Xenopus tropicalis: one gene and its partner. The protein of the gene in region 2 interacts with the protein of the main gene of each other region in a biochemical or structural test. Links are inferred from orthologs where the notes say so. Each region holds a gene or a part of one and is shown on either strand. Other genes may lie near its edges. The genes, in order: rln3 and rxfp3.

Evidence for each region.
Region 1: the proteins of rxfp3 (region 2) and rln3 form a complex in vitro, tested with the Homo sapiens proteins (2 studies listed by BioGRID, with this or other methods). The link is inferred for Xenopus tropicalis from reciprocal best matches to the Homo sapiens genes RXFP3 and RLN3.

What each region holds. Positions count from the first base shown.
Region 1 is NC_030679.2:141,068,855-141,079,074, reverse strand, and holds rln3 (relaxin-3 precursor), read left to right. Parts: upstream 1-4,752; coding exon 4,753-4,933; intron 4,934-7,523; coding exon 7,524-7,819; downstream 7,820-10,220. UniProt on the Homo sapiens protein: May play a role in neuropeptide signaling processes. Ligand for LGR7, RXFP3 and RXFP4.
Region 2 is NC_030677.2:199,654,977-199,665,151, forward strand, and holds the start of rxfp3 (relaxin-3 receptor 1), read right to left. Parts: upstream 4,902-10,175; 5' UTR 4,361-4,901; coding exon 3,202-4,360; intron 1-3,201. UniProt on the Homo sapiens protein: Receptor for RNL3/relaxin-3. Binding of the ligand inhibit cAMP accumulation.

The DNA of each region.
Region 1 (10,220 bases), on a different chromosome or scaffold from region 2:
TGAAAGGATACTTGGGGGGCCCTGGGGGAAGCTGAAGGATACTTGGGGGGGCCCTGGGGGAAGCTGAAGGATACTTGGGGGGGCCCTGGGGGAAGCTGAAGGATACTTGGGGGGGCCCTGGGGGAGCTGGAGGATGCTTGGAGGCCCTGGGGGACTCTGAAGGATACTTGGGGGGGGCCCTGTGGGAAGCTGAAGGATACTTGGGGGGGCCCTGGGGGAAGCTGAAGGATACTTGGGGGGGCCCTGGGGGAAGCTGAAAGGATACTTGGGGGGCCCTGGGGGAAGCTGAAGGATACTTGGGGGGGCCCTGGGGGAAGCTGAAGGATACTTGGGGGGGCCCTGGGGGAGCTGGAGGATGCTTGGAGGCCCTGGGGGACTCTGAAGGATACTTGGGGGGGGCCCTGTGGGAAGCTGAAGGATACTTGGGGGGGCCCTGGGGGAAGCTGAAGGATACTTGGGGGGGCCCTGGGGGAAGCTGAAGGATACTTGGGGGGGCCTGGGGGAAGCTGAATGATACTTGGGGGGGCCCTGGGGGAAGCTGAAGGATACTTGGGGGGGCCCTGGGGGAAGCTGAAGGATACTTGGGGGGGCCTGGGGGAAGCTGAATGATACTTGGGGGGGCCCTGGGTTGATATAAAATATTTTACTACAGTATTTGGTTCAGAATCTTTTTTCTCTAGATTTTCCTCCTTTAAAATTGGGTGCGTCTTATATTCCGGAGCGTCTTATAGGGCGAAAAATACGGTATATATTGAATGTATATTTGCTTACAACCCTTTTACGTTTAGCTCTGCAGGCAGCATATAATAAGGAGAAAGAGGAGGCTCCATGTTTATGGGGGCACAATGCCATGCTATAATATATATTACAGGTTTTACTGCCCACGCCATCATCTTAGCATCCATTTTATGACTTGCCATTGTGTCCCGACACCGTCACCTATTGTATTGTGTCCCCATTGTGACGTCGACTCTCATTAGTATTGTAATTAGCACATTCAGGAGCCATTGTTTTTTTTTTTTTGGGCCTCAGGGGCGTCCGCTGGTTAAATGTCCCTGTGCGGCTATTAGCCACCGCGTCAAAGATAGGATCCCAGCGGTGACAGATGGAGCCTTTTGTCATGAAAATGTTAGGGCAGCGAGGAGCAGGGATGGCGGCGCTATCAGTGGCTGTTCGATCCTATCACTCGCCCGCTGACATTATACCAGACAAAGGACGCCGTGTCCCGGCGAGGAAAGCTAATGGAATAGAGATTAGCAAAGTTCAGGCCGTGCAAATAGATTTGTATAACAATTCCGTAATGATAATGAGCGCTGCTCCGAATTGCGCCCGTACGTAAATGCGTATCCATTCCGAAAGATCAGCTGCGATCTGTAATCGCCGTAGCAGCGCAACGGGCATAAAGGGTAACCGAGAAAAACCGGCAGGAACTCCGGATAAACAAAACGTCTTGAGTAGCTGAAAACCAGTATAGTGTATTTAAACTTACACATAATGCTATAAAGCCTGACGCGTTTCGTACCTAAAACAGTCATAGGCTGAATAACAATCCACAAACACATATTATTTAAAGCAAAAATAGGCAATTGTATTGCAAGGAGGTTGACCAATCGCAACGTACATATAATTAAAGTTACGGTACGAAACGCGTAAGGCATTATGGCATTATGTGTACGTTTAAATGAACTATACTGGTTTTACTTCAACTTGTTGAGCACCCAGACCCTCCACCACCACAAAGAGTTCTACCTAATTCACCGAGTACTCGGTTTTCTTTATTTTTTGGATCTTTCCATATATATTGCAACAGGGTAACTTAGCACAGGGGCCACATTCTCTGCTAAGCACAGGGGCCACATTCTCTGCTAAGCACAGGGGCCACATTCTCAGCTAAGCACAGGGGCCTCATTCTCCGCTAAGCACAGGGGCCACATTCTCCGTTAAGCACAGGGGCCACAGTCTCTGCTAAGCACAGGGGCCACAGTCTCCGCTAAGCACAGGGGCCACATTCTCTGCTAAGCACAGGGGCCACATTCTCCGCTAAGCACAGGGGCCACAGTCTCTGCTAAGCACAGGGGCCACAGTCTCCGCTAAGCACAGGGGCCACATTCTCTGCTAAGCACAGGGGCCACATTCTCTGCTAAGCACAGGGGCCACAGTCTCCGCTAAGCACAGGGGCCACATTCTCCGCTAAGCACAGGGGCCACAGTCTCCGCTAAGCACAGGGGCCACAGTCTCCGCTAAGCACAGGGGCCACATTCTCCGCTAAGCACAGGGGCCACATTCTCCGCTAAGCACAGGGGCCACATTCTCAGCTAAGCACAGGGGCCACATTCTCAGCTAAGCACAGGGGCCACATTCTCTGCTAAGCACAGGGGCCACATTCTCTGCTAAGCACAGGGGCCACATTCTCTGCTAAGCACAGGGGCCACATTCTCTGCTAAGCACAGGGGCCACATTCTTTGCTAAGCACAGGGGCCACATTCTCTGCTAAGCACAGGGGCCACATTCTCTGCTAAGCACAGGGGCCACATTCTCAGCTAAGCACAGGGGCCACATTCTCAGCTAAGCACAGGGGCCACATTCTCTGCTAAGCACAGGGGCCACATTCTCAGCTAAGCACAGGGGCCACATTCTCTGCTAAGCACAGGGGCCACAGTCTCCGCTAAGCACAGGGGCCACATTCTCAGCTAAGCACAGGGGCCACATTCTCTGCTAAGCACAGGGGCCACATTCTCCGCTAAGCACAGGGGCCACATTCTCAGCTAAGCACAGGGGCCACATTCTCAGCTAAGCACAGGGGCCACATTCTCAGCTAAGCACAGGGGCCACATTCTCAGCTAAGCACAGGGGCCACATTCTCTGCTAAGCACAGGGGCCACATTCTCTGCTAAGCACAGGGGCCACATTCTCAGCTAAGCACAGGGGCCACATTCTCAGCTAAGCACAGGGGCCACATTCTCCGCTAAGCACAGGGGGTGTCGCACCTTGCCCACTCAAGCGAATGGGAGACAGAAGCGTGGGGGTCATGTGGTTCTCTGAAGGCAGAGAATATACCCCTCGTGCCACAGCCCTTATACACAGTGCTAATATTAGCACAACAATCAGTGGCGTAGAGGAAGCAGACGCGGCGGGGGGGGGGGGGGCCCTGGGTACAGGGGGGGAGGGCGCAGGGTCAGCTTCCTCTACGCCACTTTTCTACAAAGAAAATATACGTGCCCACTGCTTTCCTGAGCCGGCCCAACACACGCGGGCATGGAGCGGGGATTGTTTGCGTGGGGGCCTGGCAGCACTTCGTTACGCCGCTGACAATAATACCCAGAACTCAACCTCCTTTGCTAAAGTACCTGCTCCCTAATGAGAATAAAATCATTCCTACAGAGCCGGGGTCCGACTGCCCTGCCAGGGTACCGGGCACCTTCCTGGTGGGCCCAGGCCTGAGAGAAGTCCCATTAACCCTTACTTATTCCCACCATTAGCCTATATACCCTTTATATGCCATTCAGTGCCAAGGCCCGGTTCCACTCACGCCATCAGCACGCAGCAAGCATTGATCAGTGTGTTCAACATGTGAAGCTAATTTAGCTCTGGAGTCAGACTGATACAAATGGATGAGGGTTTGCCTTGGCGTTGGAGTTGGGGGCCATTCCAACCACTTATACTTACATAGGAGGGCCATTGTAGCATGGGGGGGGGGGGCAACTGTGTTGGCCCACCTATCTAGGGCAGGGTCATACTCAAGCATACACAGGAGTCACCTACCTGGGAACCCTCGGCAGTGGTAGAGACACCAGGACTTACCAGAGTAATAAACTTCATATAGGGCTTTGCCCTAAGGGTGCAGGGACACGGCGGGGACATCTTGGGGAGTGCGGGGCCCCTGGTTCGGCAGCCCCAGTGGGCCCTGCACCCCCCCAGTCCAACCCTGTGTGCATCATAGTACTTAGATTGTAAGCTCTACGGGGCAGGAAGCTCCTTCCTACTGTGTCTCATATCACATGGCACTTACTCCCTGTGCATTTATATTATTATATATATATATTTATTGTATTTATTCTAACACTTGTCCTCCCTGTGTGTAATTGTGTATATTGTAAGATTGTACAGCGCTGCGTACCCTTGTGGCACTTTATAAATAAAGTTATACATATAACAAATGCAAAGCTATTGGCTGAGCCCACTCATACAGACTCCTTGCAGATAGAGCCCTGGCTGGAATCAAACTTAAGACCCCAATGCTACATTGATCTCCCCCTCCCCCCAAATCACTAGGGGCAGTTATGGTCACCTCCACCTGATTCTAATAATAATGCGCCCCTAGTGGCCAAACTGCCAGGAGCAATGGTAGAATACCTGCTTGCCTTACTAAGCAGTTACTTTTGCGCAGGGACATGGGAGAAGCATTAGCACATACATTACTTTTTCTACCCGCCATGGGGGTCGCTATAAAGTCCCCCCTTGAGTCACTCGCCATACGCACAGATTTTGTACTTGTGGGGGTAGTTTACTGGGAAGTGATGCTCTGAGGGTGTCAGGGTGATGGCACCCAGTGACGAGCCTGGAATAATTGCTGCCTTATTATGCTGCAGAAAGGTTATCTCTCCTCTCAGAGGCTGCTCCGGGGAGGGGGGGCACCGAGTAGGGTCCTTATCTCCCCGCTCAGGCCCCCACGGTCAGCTTATAAGTGGACGGTCAGCAGCCACTGGGATTCACTTTCCTCGCTCACTGCCTGCCCAGTAAGAGCCTGGCATCATGCAGCGCGTGGCTCCCGCCCTTCTCGTGGTCCTGTGGCTCCTAGCCTGGCACAGCGGCACCCAGGCCACCAGCAGAGTCCCCACGTTTGGGGTGAAGCTCTGCGGCCGAGAGTTCATACGAGCCGTTATCTTCACATGTGGGGGTTCCCGGTGGAGAAGAAACGAGGCTCTGCAAGCAGGTAGGGGGTCTTACACAACTTCCTAAGGGGGTTATTGGGCGTGGGCAAAACTGTACCCAAAATCAGATAGAGCCCAGGGCAGACCTGCTTCCTACAGGGTTCATCCCTTTCTTCGAAACAATGTAGCAGAAGTCAATTCTCCTCCAGGTATGTTATTTCAGGAGTCACAATCAGCAGTGCAGAGAAGTGAAAATGGGAAATTGGGAAGTTGCTCAGAATGATATTTTCTTTCATTAGGTTCCCCTTTAAACATCCACTACCGTCCAATCATAATGTGAGTTTCATTGTTTTGTAGGGGGTCAAACCACCCATTTTGGGGGCTGTGACTGGTGAGGTGCAGCCCAAAGAGATGTCGCAGTTTTCATTTTTTTCACATTTCTTTTTTTTTGCCATTAGATATTGTGCTACTTGCCCTTTACCCTGGCAAAGGTACGACCAACGCCTTAGATTCTACCAACTCAGGGTTTTGTTTAGATTGGCAAGATTGATAGGCACCAGCATTTAAAGGGTTAAAAGCGCTCCAGCTTCCTATGTGCAGGATAAATATTGCAATGAAAGTGTTCTGGCAGCTTGAGAGTTAAGAGGGCAACCAACTTTTGGACTGGCACCCCTGACGCCCTGTAGATAGGGTGGGCTGCTGTACAAGGGTCAGTACCCGCTGCCCCAGCAACATTGCCCCCTAAGAGCAGCGTTGCCCACGGTTTAGTGCCCCCAACTGTAGGCAGTGCTGTATGCAGAGCAATGAGCCCCTTGCTAAGCCTGCTTAGACTCCCCCCCAGACATGCATTTGGTACGTTCCACCTGGAGCTCCCAGCATGCTCAGCCAGGGGAGGCTGCCTTATCTACCCCCTACTCCCACTGAGATATAACACGGGCTCCTGTTAGTGATATGGTAATAGTAACAATCAGAGCCTTTGTGTGCAGCTATTTAATGAGGAGATCTGTATCGGGGGCTCAGGGTGGGTTAGGTAGATAACACTTGTGTGCAGCTGTTTGTTTGTGATTGTGCGCCCACACTCAGCGCTTTGTCCGGTGCATCAATCTGGATATTAGAAGTCACTGAGGGGTTCTGTGCCCATATAAAGGCACAAGGCTGCAGGCTGAGTTATACAGGGAACTCTGAGTATCACTCATGTATTATAAGGGATAATGTACCCCCTACTGTAAATGATAAGGATATTAGCAGTCACTGAGGGGTTCTGTGCCCATATAAAGGCACAAGGCTGCAGGCTGAGTTATACAGGGAACTCTGAGTATCACTCATGTATTATAAGGCATAATGTACCCCCTACTGTAAATGATAAGGATATTAGCAGTCACTGAGGGGTTCTGTGCCCATATAAAGGCACAAGGCTGCAGGCTGAGTTATACAGGGAACTCTGAGTATCACTCATGTATTATAAGGGATAATGTACCCCCTACTGTAAATGATAAGGATATTAGCAGTCACTGAGGGGTTCTGTGCCCATATAAAGGCACAAGGCTGCAGGCTGAGTTATACAGGGAACTCTGAGTATCACTCATGTATTATAAGGGATAATGTACCCCCTACTGTAAATGATAAGGATATTAGCAGGCACTGAGGGGTTCTGTGCCCATATAAAGGCACAAGGCTGCAGGCTGAGTTATACAGGGAACTCTGAGTATCACTCATGTATTATAAGGGATAATGTACCCCCTACTGTAAATGATAAGGATATTAGCAGTCACTGAGGGGTTCTGTGCCCATATAAAGGCACAAGGCTGCAGGCTGAGTTATACAGGGAACTCTGAGTATCACTCATGTATTATAAGGGATAATGTACCCCCTACTGTAAATGATAAGGATATTAGCAGTCACTGAGGGGTTCTGTGCCCATATAAAGGCACAAGGCTGCAGGCTGAGTTATACAGGGAACTCTGAGTATCACTCATGTATTATAAGGGATAATGTACCCCCTACTGTAAATGATAAGGATATTAGCAGTCACTGAGGGGTTCTGTGCCCATATAAAGGCACAAGGCTGCAGGCTGAGTTATACAGGGAACTCTGAGTATCACTCATGTATTATAAGGCATAATGTACCCCCTACTGTAAATGATAAGGATATTAGCAGTCACTGAGGGGTTCTGTGCCCATATAAAGGCACAAGGCTGCAGGCTGAGTTATACAGGGAACTCTGAGTATCACTCATGTATTATAAGGGATAATGTACCCCCTACTGTAAATGATAAGGATATTAGCAGTCACTGAGGGGTTCTGTGCCCATATAAAGGCACAAGGCTGCAGGCTGAGTTATACAGGGAACTCTGAGTATCACTCATGTATTATAAGGGATAATGTACCCCCTACTGTAAATGATAAGGATATTAGCAGTCACTGAGGGGTTCTGTGCCCATATAAAGGCACAAGGCTGCAGGCTGAGTTATACAGGGAACTCTGAGTATCACTCATGTATTATAAGGGATAATGTACCCCCTACTGTAAATGATAAGGATATTAGCAGTCACTGAGGGTTATTAACATTAATATCAGGATGCTTTTGCCTCTAGTCTGTCTGTACACTAAATAAAAATAAACAATACTGGGGGCATCTCTTTGCACCCCCAGCTTCTCTTGTAGGGGAGCCTGCTGAAGTCTTTGGAAACTTGGTCTCTCCCGATGTGAATTCCGATGAGGAGGACGTGCTGAGTGAATGGGCGAGCAGCCTGCGTCCCCACAACAACGACATTGACTATGGCAGCGTGCAGAGTTGGCGAGATACCGCGGGGGGCAGGCACGGCATGGCAGCAGCAGAGGACGCCCTGAGGGGGGTGGAGAGGAGAGGGAGGGAAGCCGCGTTGGGATTATCAAATACTTGTTGCAAATGGGGGTGTAGCAAGAGCCAGATTAGCTCCTTGTGTTGAATGGGAGCCGAGTCACTGGGGTGGGGGGCAGTGTGGGGGGAGATTGGGTCATTGGTCTGTAACTGGGTCATGTACGTGTGTAGAACAGAAATCCCTATTGTTAGTGTGTGAGTGTGAGTGAATGAGTGAGTGTGAGTGAGTATTGGTTATGCGCAGGGGCACAGCCCAGGGTATCTGGGGCACGTGAGTGTTATCAGTATGTATATATATAATACATTTTCAACCCCGTATTCTGCTTGTTTCTTTCTTTTCTACATGTATTGATTTAATATGGAAGGAACCATTGTACATGGGTTTATTGGGCTGGGAATCTAGGGGAGCACTTTAGGCTCCCAGAGTGGGGGTGCTACTCCCGGGTGGCGGGCACAGCCAGCAGGGGGCCCCGTTGCAAATATAGTGTAAGGGACACAGGAGCAAGGAAGTCCTGGGCCCATAGAGCTTACAATCTAAGTGTGTGGGTAACTTCCAGGCACAGAGAGAAGTGCTGCTAAGGCTGTTCAAGTGCTTCGAGAGGCTGAGGGAGAGTTCCTGGTGGAGAAACATAAGGAATGAATTCCATAGGGGCAGAAAGGGAAAGCAGAGGGGCAATAGGGGATATGGGCGCTGTGAAAAGATGGCGGCTCTGAAAGAAATGGAGAAGGAGACCCAGAAAATTTGGAGGCACAGGGAAGATGCAGTGAGAGCAGGAGGAATGAAGCACTTTGTGAGGGACGGGAGGGGGGACAATAAGGACAGGGTTGGCCTGTGCCCACTGTTCTTCTGGGCAGAATGGCTAATGGGCACTAAAGGATTCGCCCGTGGGAACTTGTCAGTATTAACAAAGGAGGATTCTCATTTGCCCAAAGTGACCTGCCCAGGGTGCAGTAATGCATCAGGTATCATAGGGCCCCATATTACTAAATTACCAGGTTCCACCCCCTCAGGGGCCCCCAGTTATTAACTCATTGGTTACCTTTGCCCCAGGAGGAGGGCCCTGAAAGCAAGTAGAATGGGGCTAGAAACAAAATGGCGCATGTACTTATGACCACGCCCCCTGATCAACACCAGGCACACACCATTATGCCAAACCCCACCCATAATCCAGCCAAGCTCCTCCCATTCTCCACAAACCCTGTCCATGCCTGTAATTCACACTATTACATTGTTTCGGCCCCAAGGGGCCCCTGACTGCAGTACTCCCTGTACTCTCCTATTGGCAACGCTGCTGCTAAGCCTCCATTGTCTACAAAATGGAACAATGGTAAAACACGGGTTAAATGGCAGTTGTCTAGGTGCTTGGTATCGGATCCAGCAGAGGGGACTGGTTAAAGGGGCAGTACACCTTTAAGTTAATTTTTAGTATGTTATAGAATGGCCAATTTTAAGCAGCTTTTCAACCGGTCTTCATTATTTGTTTTTAAATTATTTGCCTTCTTCTTCTGACTCTTTCCAGCTTTTATATGGGGGGGTCACTGACCCCGGCAGCCAAAACCTATTGGTCTGAGAGGCAACAGTTTTATTATTATTGTTATTTCATTTTAGTTATTTTTCTATTCAGTCCCTCTATTCTTATACCAGTCTCTCATTCAAACCACTCCCTGGATGCTAAGGAAATTTGGATCCTAGCAACCAGATTGTCTTAGAATCTCCCTCCTATTTACTCACAGATTATAACTCACTAAGGTGTAGCCGGACTTGGATTTCTTACTATTGAGTGCTATTCTGATACCTACTGGGAGCTGCTATCTTGCTCCCTTCCCATTGTTCTGCTGATCGGCTGCTGGGGGGGGGGGGGGGATATCACTCCAACTTGCAGTGCAGCAGTAAAGTGTGTCTGTATGAAGATCATCAGTCACGTGAATGGTGGAACCTATAAAACTAAGAATATGTTTAGCCCCACATCAATTTTTAAAATGAAATACAAAAGAAAATCTGTTTGCTCTATAAAAAAACACTACAATGCAGGATTCTGCTGGAGAAGACTGCTGTAATGCAGGGGACTGACTTATTGCCCAGTCAGCAGCAGAAAATGCATTGGTGGTTCAACCATTGCTCAGGACAGAGCCCTCCCCCCTTTACTTCATGAAGCAGTGCCGGTAGAAGGCAGAGCAGGAAGCACTGGGAAGAACTCGCGGTGCAGCAGGTAGGAACAGCAACATGGGCAGGAACAGCAACATAGGCAGGAACAGCAGCATGGGCAGGAACAGCAGCATGGGCAGGAACAGCAGCATGGGCAGGAACAGCAGCATGGGCAGGAACAGCAGCATGGGCAGGAACAGCAGCATGGGCAGGAACAGCAGCATGGGTAGGAACAGCAATGGGCAGGAACAGCATGGGCAGGAACAGCAACATGGGCAGGAACAGCAACATGGGCAGGAACAGCAGCATGGGCAGGAACAGCAACATGGCAGGAACAGCAACA
Region 2 (10,175 bases):
AGGTGGCCATACACGTTAAGACCTTGGTAGATCTTCTCCCATTATGCCCACCTAATGTAGGCTATCTCTAATTCAATTGTTTGGCCAAACGATAAAATTACAATAACAGGTATAGGAGCCGTCGTACCAAGTGCTGCATCAGTGAGCCAATGTGGTCCCCAATCTGATGGAAGAATCAAACCTGTCCCATTGACACCTGGAATATATTCAGCCATCGGTTGGGGAGACTATGACTCCTGGGGTAAAGGAGACCATACACATTAAGACCTTGGTAGATCTTCTCCCATTATGCCCACCTAATGTAGGCTATCTCTAATTCAATAGTTTGGCCAAATGATCAAATTACAATAACAGGTATAGGAGATGTCATACCAAGGACTGAACCAATGAGCCAATGTGGTCCCCAATCTGATGGGGAAAAACTGTCCAATTGACACCTGGAATATATTCAGCCATCAGTTGGGGAGACTATGACTCCTGGAGTAAAGGTGGCCATACACATTAAGACCTTGGTGGATCTTCTCCCATTATGCCCACCTAATGTAGGCTATCTCTAATTCAATTGTTTGGCCAAATGATCAAATTACAATAACAGGTATAGGAGCCGTCAAACCAAGGACTGTATCAATGAGCCAATGTGGTCCCCAATCTGATGGGAGAATCAAACCTGTCCCATCGACACCTGGAATATATTCAGCTATCGGTTGGGGAGACTATTACTCCTGGGGTAAAGGTGGCCATACATGTTAAGACCTAGGTGGATCTTCTCCCATTATGCCCACCTAATGAAGGCTATCTCTAATTCAATTGTTTGGCCAAACGATAAAATTACAATAACAGGTATAGGAGCCGTCGTACCAAGGGCTGCATCAGTGAGCCAATGTGGTCCCCAATCTGATGGGAAAATCAAAACTGTCCAATCGACACCTGGAATATATTGAGCCATCAGTTGGGGAGATGGGAAGATAAGCTACCGAATCCATTGGAAGGACTCAAATCTGCCCGTGTATGGCCACCTTTAGAGAAGGCTGGGAGTTATGGTTTGAATCATCTTAAAGGCTACCATTTGCCCATCGCTGCTACTGAGTGAACATGCCTTATCAGAATATACAGCACAACACAAGAGCTGCAGGGAACTTATGTGCAAGAGGTTGCATTTAAGTGCCAAAATATGCATTTAACAATCCAAACATAGAAATCACTTTCTTAAAAAAAAAAGTAAAAGCCCCATAGAGTTTAAAAAAATGCATTTATACATATATATCATATAAAAAGAAGTGCTATAAAATTTCCGATGTGTAGGAGCAATATACCTGGCAATTATTGTTATGTACAGGGTAAAGAGATGCGCCACGTGGCTCCTTTATATGGCTGTGTGGGTCATAAAACCTCAGAATGAACAGCTGCCCCGCGCAATGGCTGTCTGAGTGTATTTACTCTTAGCCACATCAGGATCTAATAAAAAAATGCTTTCAACAAGTGACCCTGGGGCGGCAGAGTATAGTTAGAAAACTAAGTATCGGCATATGTTTATCTATATATACACCTGAGTGTACGGGTTATTATATTTAGAAAGCAAATTCAGTACAAGTATGGGATCCCTTATCCAGAAAACCCCTTATCCAGAAAGTTCCAAATTACAGAAAGGCCATCTCTCATAGATTCCATTATAAGCAAATAATTCTAATTTTTAAATATGATTTATTTTTTTCTCTGTAATAATAAAACAGTACCTGTACTTGATCCCAACTAAGATATAATTACCCCTTATTGGGGGCAGAACAGCCCTATTGGGTTTATTTCATGGTTAAATGATTCCCTTTTCTCTGTAATAATAAAACAGTACCTGTACTTGATCCCAACTAAGATATAATTACCCTTATTGGGACAGAACAGCCCTATTGGGTTTATTTCATGGTTAAATGATTCCCTTTTCTCTGTAATAATAAAACAGTACCTGTACTTGATCCCAACTAAGATATAATTACCCCTTATTGGGGCAGAACAGCCCTATTGGGTTTATTTAATGGTTAAATGATTCCCTTTTCTCTGTAATAATAAAACAGTACCTGTACTTGATCCCAACTAAGATATAATTACCCCTTATTGGGGGCAGAACAGCCCTATTGGGTTTATTTAATATTTAAATGATTTTTAGCAGACTTAAGTTATGGAGATCCAAATTACGGAAAGATCCCTTATCCGGAGAACCCCAGGTCCCGAGCATTCTGGATAACAGGTCCCATACCTGTAATAACATTACATGGAACCCAGCCCTAGTGTATCTGTGCCAAGATTACCTTGTGTATTACCAGGGCATTAGCCTCTAGTAGGAAAGCAGCACAATGACACAGACGTTAGATCTGATGCCTTGGAGTCTTGGGTTCGATTCTGACCAGGGCACTACCTGGGTGGGTTTTCTCTGAATGCTTAGATTCTCACCCAAAAGCTTGGTTGGAAGGTTATTTAACTCCTGCGTGTATTAGATTGTAAGCTCCATTGCTGCAGAAATCAATTTAAATGATTCTGTACAACATGCCAGCACTATATAAATTACAGATATTAATAATGAAGTATAGTGCCTGCCTGGGTGTAGCGCAATGGCATTGCTTTTTATTATCCTTCTAAATAAAATTGAGGAGTCAAAAAACCCTTTTGGCACAGCACCCTGTCTCCAGGGAGACACGGATGGAGCAGGTAGTGAGATAAAATACCTCCTTAATTGCAACAGCAACAAATGGAGCAACAATGTAACCAAGCAGCTGCATCACATGTATCAACAGATAAGCCTTGGTACATACAGTGCGCTGGGTTATCTACACACCTCTCCCTTGCCTAGGGCTTTGCAGTTATTCAGCAGAAGGTACTCTATGCCTTTAACACGTTGATATATACCATGTGGCAGCTCCCTTTGTATATTTATTATAGGACACTTATTGTACATCTCATCGTAGTGATATGTATTACATGACGCATTGAGCCATTTCCTCTGCGACTTTCTAAAACAAGCCAGCTGCAGTCCTGATATTCTGCTGTGTGTGGTTAAATTGAGGCAGATTGACCCAATGTCTCACAGGGACAAGTCTCAGTACCGTTGCTCGGTCGAGCTATTGGGGAGGAGGTCATATCTGCCATTGTATAGAACTGCCCCAGGGGGGTAACAAATGACATCGGGTTCAGCTGGATTGAGAGGGACCATACCATGGGCGTGATCATCCTGCTCGGGTTTAGTGGTCGCAGTGAACGGTCGCATGTTGGTCAGGGACGGCGATGCGATTTTCCAGAAGAGGTTTTTCAGCGCTTTCCTGAACTCCCTGCGCATCAAGCAGTAAAGGATTGGGTTGAGGCAACTGTTGGAGTGAGCCAGACACACAGTGATGGGGAATATGTAGGCTTGGGTAGTAAAGTACTCATAGCTGAACTGGACAATATTCAGTTTGATCAATATCCCCCAGGTGGTCAAGGCTTGGTTGGGGAGCCAGCAGAGGAAAAACGAGAGGACCACGATGGTCACCGACTTGGTGACTTTGGATCTCCGTTTGGTGCTGGAGCTGCTAATGTTCCGGTCCGTAATGAAACGAACCAGAAGCAAATAGCAGATAGTAATAACGAACAGAGGGATCAGAAAGCCCAACAGAACCTTCTGGGCATGGTACAACCCAAGCCAAAACTGGGCATTGCCGTTATTGACTGGGAACTTCACCAGGCAGAGGACCTCGCTGGAGACAGTCGCTGTGGTTGAGAAGATCGCGTTGGGCAAAGACGCAACGATAGCGGAGACCCAGATGAGAACGCTCACCCATTTGGCGGAGCAGCCGGCGGGTCTCCTTTTCACCTTCAGCGCAGAAGCCACAGAGTAGTACCTGGCCACACTCATTGCTGTCAGGAAGAACACACTGGCATACATGTTCATGGCGGTCACATACGACACGATTTTGCACATGGCTTTGCCAAAAAGCCAACTGAAGTCCAACGCATTCTCCACCGCCCAGAAAGGCAAAGTCAATACAAACTGAAAGTCCGTGATGGCCAAGCTGGTCACAAAGAGGTTTATTGATGACTTCTTCCATCCTTGCTTGGTTTTCATGAGGTATAAGACAAGCACATTGCCCACTAGTCCCAATGCACACACCACGGAGTATACAATCGAGATAATGATCCTCACTATAGCCGAGCTGTCCCCTATTATATCCGATTTGTCCAGGTTGAACCCTTTAATAAAGTCCTGTAGCGACTCGTTGCTCCTGTTCAACAGTCGCTCCTCCAGGAAGAGTGGAAACATCCCAAGCAGGTCGCTCTGCTCTGCTTCTTGCATACTGGCTGCTATGGAGCAATAACTGAGATTGCAACTGACATCCATCCCATGTTATAAAAAAAAAACTCAGCTCTTCATTGAGCTAATGGTCCCATGCCATAAACGCATTTTCTTTTACTGCCGACAAAATCGCACGGCAATGTAGAAGATTCTCAATGAGGCATCGATCTGTTGCTTCCACTGTCTTTGTATCCACTTAGGAAATAATACATTCATTAGCTACAGCCTTCAGCATTGTGGCATCAGCAGCTGTTACAATGAGAGGATAAGGTACATGAGGAGAGGTAGTGCTGTGGACTCCATATATCTGTATGGCAGCTGGATCTAAAGTCCTGTGAGTTGTTGCAGCTTCCAACTTCATTTATATTTTGTGCCCTGCGCCTTCCGTCAGGCTGAGTAGAATTCTATTCAGGAGGCGGGGCCTGTGCAGCGCTGAGATGGAGCTCTCCAAGGTTCTACTAACGGGAACTCTCCAAGGTGCTGATGTAACGCTCAGGGTTATCCACTCTGCCTCTCTGCTAATTGATACTAGGAGGGGCGGCACTGTAATCCCCCCCTACCTCCCTCTGATAGGAGCATCAGCTCATGACTGGACCTTGCAGGCTTCTCTAGTATTTCCATCATCATTAGAATTATTCAGGGATTCTAGTCCAACCAGAAAGGAGACTCTCATTAGTTCAGCCACCACTGGGGGTTAGTACTCTTACAGTTGACCATAATAAGAACAGCTGGGTATCAGAGCAATCCATCTATCTGCCAATTCTCTATATTTTTTTTTTTTAAGTTTTAACTTTTTTATTGAGAATAACAAGTTACATAACATATTTATGCTGGTATAGTTACATCAATAAATTGTATAGTTGTTTATCATGTTTAATTCTTACAAGCCATTCTTTAGGGGAGGGAAAAATGGGGGGGGGGGGGGAGGGTGTACAAGTCAGGGTCTTATTTTCCAATTCTATATTTTAATATAAATTCCATTCCAGCTGTAGAAACGTTTTAGAATAATCCAGAGATGACATTTAGAAACCCAGTTAATTTGTTTCTTTACCTTATTACCCCCCTAACTATATAATGGCATTCTGTGCTGTATGGTGGTGCTTGAAAATAGTATATTCATTTTTAAGGCTTTTTTCCCCCTGTTATTTTAACGTAATGTAATAGATTTGTCTCCACTTCTTTAAACATTTTTAATAAGAAAGTCCACTAGGGGGCAGTAATGCTTTAGGCCAGTGGAACATTCAGACGGTGAGATTTCGCTTTACTCTTTCAGAGCCAAATAAATACAAATGTATTTATATGATATTCATAGAGATCTTCTCTCTTTATTATTTATAGTCACATTTAAGAGCATAAGGATAGAAGAAATACGTTTAAACCATTATATACGAACCCCATGTACAGATATTTTCCCCAACATATCTCATTTAGCTCTGGCAAACAACTCCCCCCCCCCCCCCCACCTTGCCTCCACACAGGGAAGAAGCACACCAATTGCCCTTAACACACATTGCACCTGAAGAAGGGGGTATTTATGTGCTTCTTCCCTGTATGGAGGTCTATGGATTTGGCTTGGAAGTGAATGCACCCTATGGAATTATGTAAGGGGTGAGCTGAAGAATCAATTATGGTTGAACTGTGTCTTCCCCCCACCTTGCATCACGGAACAAATGGCTTATAAGCTCTACGTGTAAAATTCTCCTACTTACCAAAAAAAGTTCTTATTTGCAGATATGGCCACTTGGAGCAATAATGTGATATAGGAACAGTATATACATTGATTATTATCCATTAAACAAGGGGTTTGAGCTTGGTAGCCATGTAGTTAATATCAATTAAACACATTTTAGAGATAAAAAATGCAATCCACTTTTCTTATGATACAGTAAACATTATAGTAAAATATATGTTCCTACTACATACTTACAGAATATCATTGTAGAGAATGTATGTGACTTCCTAAACTGTGTTACAATTAGAGTTTTTGTGTGGGATAATAGTGGGAATAGCAGGTATAGTAGGGAGAGATGGTGCCTATAGTAGCAGTGGGGGATAATAGCCTCTGGGAAGGGACTGGGGCTGTGGGATAGTAGGTATAGTAGGGAGAGATGGTGCCTATAGTAGCAGTGGGGGGATAATAGCCTCTGGGAAGGGACTGGGGCTGTGGGATAGCAGGTATAGTAGGGAGAGATGGAGCCTATAGTAGCAGTGGGGGGATAATAGCCTCTGGGAAGGGACTGGGGCTGTGGGATAGCAGGTATAGTAGGGAGAGATGGAGCCTATAGTAGCAGTGGGGGGATAATAGCCTCTGGGAAGGGACTGGGGCTGTGGGATAGCAGGTATAGTAGGGAGAGATGGTGCCTATAGTAGCAGTGGGGGGATAATAGCCTCTGGGAAGGGACTGGGGCTGTGGGATAGCAGGTATAGTAGGGAGAGATGGTGCCTATAGTAGCAGTGGGATAATAGCCTCTGGGAAGGGACTGTGGCTGTGGGATAGCAGGTATAGTAGGGAGAGATGGTGCCTATAGTAGCAGTGGGGGGATAATAGCCTTTGGGAAGGGACTGTGGCTGTGGGATAGCAGGTATAGTAGGGAGAGATGGTGCCTATAGTAGCAGTGGGGGGATAATAGCCTCTGGGAAGGGACTGGGGCTGTGGGATAGCAGGTATAGTAGGGAGAGATGGTGCCTATAGTAGCAGTGGGGGGATAATAGCCTCTGGGAAGGGACTGTGGCTGTGGGATAGCAGGTATAGTAGGGAGAGATGGTGCCTATAGTAGCAGTGGGGGGATAATAGCCTCTGGGAAGGGACTGGGGCTGTGGGATAGCAGGTATAGTAGGGAGAGATGGTGCCTATAGTAGCAGTGGGGGGATAATAGCCTCTGGGAAGGGGACTGTGGCTGTGGGATAGCAGGTATAGTAGGGAGAGATGGTGCCTATAGTAGCAGTGGGGGGATAATAGCCTCTGGGAAGGGACTGGGGCTGTGGGATAGCAGGTATAGTAGGGAGAGATGGTGCCTATAGTAGCAGTGGGGGGATAATAGCCTCTGGGAAGGGGCTGTGGCTGTGGGATTGTAGGTATAGTAGGGAGAGATGGTGCCTATAGTAGCAGTGGGATAATAGCCTCTGGGAAGGGACTGGGGCTGTGGGATAGCAGGTATAGTAGGGAGAGATGGTGCCTATAGTAGCAGTGGGATAATAGCCTCTGGGAAGGGACTGGGGCTGTGGGATAGCAGGTATAGTAGGGAGAGATGGTGCCTATAGTAGCAGTGGGATAATAGCCTCTGGGAAGGGACTGGGGCTGTGGGGTAGCAGGTATAGTAGGGAGAGATGGTGCCTATAGTAGCAGTGGGGGGAAAATAGCCTCTGGGAAGGGACTGGGGCTGTGGGATAGCAGGTATAGTAGGGAGAGATGGTGCCTATAGTAGCAGTGGGATAATAGCCTCTGGGAAGGGACTGGGGCTGTGGGATAGCAGGTATAGTAGGGAGAGATGGTGCCTATAGTAGCAGTGGGGGGATAATAGCCTCTGGGAAGGGACTGGGGCTGTGGGATAGCAGGTATAGTAGGGAGAGATGGTGCCTATAGTAGCAGTGGGGGGAAAATAGCCTCTGGGAAGGGACTGGGGCTGTGGGATAGCAGGTATAGTAGGGAGAGATGGTGCCTATAGTAGCAGTGGGATAATAGCCTCTGGGAAGGGACTGGGGCTGTGGGATAGCAGGTATAGTAGGGAGAGATGGTGCCTATAGTAGCAGTGGGATAATAGCCTCTGGGAAGGGACTGGGGCTGTGGGATAGCAGGTATAGTAGGGAGAGATGGTGCCTATAGTAGCAGTGGGGGGATAATAGCCTCTGGGAAGGGACTGGGGCTGTGGGATAGCAGGTATAGTAGGGAGAGATGGTGCCTATAGTAGCAGTGGGGGGATAATAGCCTCTGGGAAGGGACTGGGGCTGTGGGATAGCAGGTATAGTAGGGAGAGATGGTGCCTATAGTAGCAGTGGGGGGAAAATAGCCTCTGGGAAGGGACTGTGTGAACATTTGAGTTTTCGGACTATAATTCGAATATTGGGAGTTTTAGCCCAAAAAAATTCAAATGTTGATAAATCACCCCCATACTGTATACTCACATGTAACCTCAGCCTAATGCCTGTGCAAGTGCCCCTGTACAGGTCTGTGAATTCCCATCTGATTTACACTATAGAGGCTCAGTCTGACTGGCCAACCTGTATTTACTTGTAGTACCCAGGGGGCATTGCTGCATGGTGCTCACTGTAGACTTAGGGTTAAAGATAACATTTTCAGTTGCAGGTACAGGTATAGGATCCATTGTCTGGAAAACCCATTATCCAGAAAGCTCCAAATTTTGGCAAGACCATCTCCCATAGGCTCCCCAGGTCCTGAGCATTCTGCATAAAAAGGCTCATACCTGTAGTTTAATGGAACACGGGGCCCCATGCATTAGATTTGGGATTTCCTGTCATTATTGTGCTTCAATTTAACAGGTCGAATCAGGGTTAATATCCTGTTCAGTATTTCATTAAATCTTCTGGTTTGCGTATTTGGCCAATTCTCAAATAATAGATTTATAACACCTCTGCGTATATAATATTGTATAAAATGGTAACAAAGCTAGAAAATAATTGTAATTTAGACAACTTACATAGGCGTAACCCTTTAAGGTATGTAATCAGTGATGCAATCAGTGATTACATAAACACCCATGTTCCTATGGGATTTTTAGAAGTGTATTTATCAATGATAAATTTTTAAAAACCCCATAAGAATAAACAGAACGTGGGTGAATTTATTAAGTTCTAAACTTTTGATAAACCTTTCCTTGATCTGTAGAGATCCTGTACCCAAAGGACAGACCATTATTCAGGTGGAACATGGGGCATTGCAGGTAAATGCACACTAGAGGGCGCCCTTGACTTCATTACACTACTGTTTCCATTGTCATTTATTCTTTGAATCCGGCTCTTAGTGAAAAGCTGAACTCAGTGCACAGCTGGATTTTACAGGGGTGACCCCCGGGGTAGGGGGGGGCGCACCAATCATCTTTGTTCTATGCGCCATTTATTGAGGCATCTTATATTTTTATCTTTGCCATAAATAAAACACACATGGGGGGCATCTACAAATGCGCAATGGGGGAGAAGTTGGGGCCGGGCTTATGGAACTGTTCCAAACCATATTATTACATTGAACAATGATGAAAAGGCTGCACATTTTTTAACTGATGTATATTGCACTTAGAGTTGGTGATTATTTATGACTATTATATGGATATTATATATATGACTAAAAGGTGTTTGGAAAGGTTGGCTGTCACTTTAGCTGAGAGACTGTTTGGGTGCGTGAGTTCCAGACGTTGGGCAGACACAGTACTTATATTTAACCTCCCTCACCTTGTTTGTTAGAGAAAGTCGTGTCTGAAATGAACGCACAGTGCCACAAATAAACTGGGAATTATATGTCAGATACACACGGAGTGGGAATGAAACAAGCCACGTGCAAAAGGCACCACTGTTGCGCTAAATCAAGTGCTTATGTCAGTATAGCCACTCAAGGGATGATTCACACCTGCGCATTCCCTGCAGGGAGCAAAATGCAATTTTGATCACAATTGTCATAGTTTTTTCCCCACGATGCAGGTTTTTTTATATTCTAGCACCATCGTGGTTGCAACGCAGCAGCGCTTTTGATGTAGTTGCACTGTGGCTACCACAATTGGGTGCAATTTGTCTAAAATTAAGTCAATTGCGTATGTCCAAATAGTGTGCAATTGCGTCAAATATGCTCTGTGTCTGCCTGGTATCATTTTTGGTGTTTGCTTGTGAGTGACATGAGCACCCTATTCTTTCT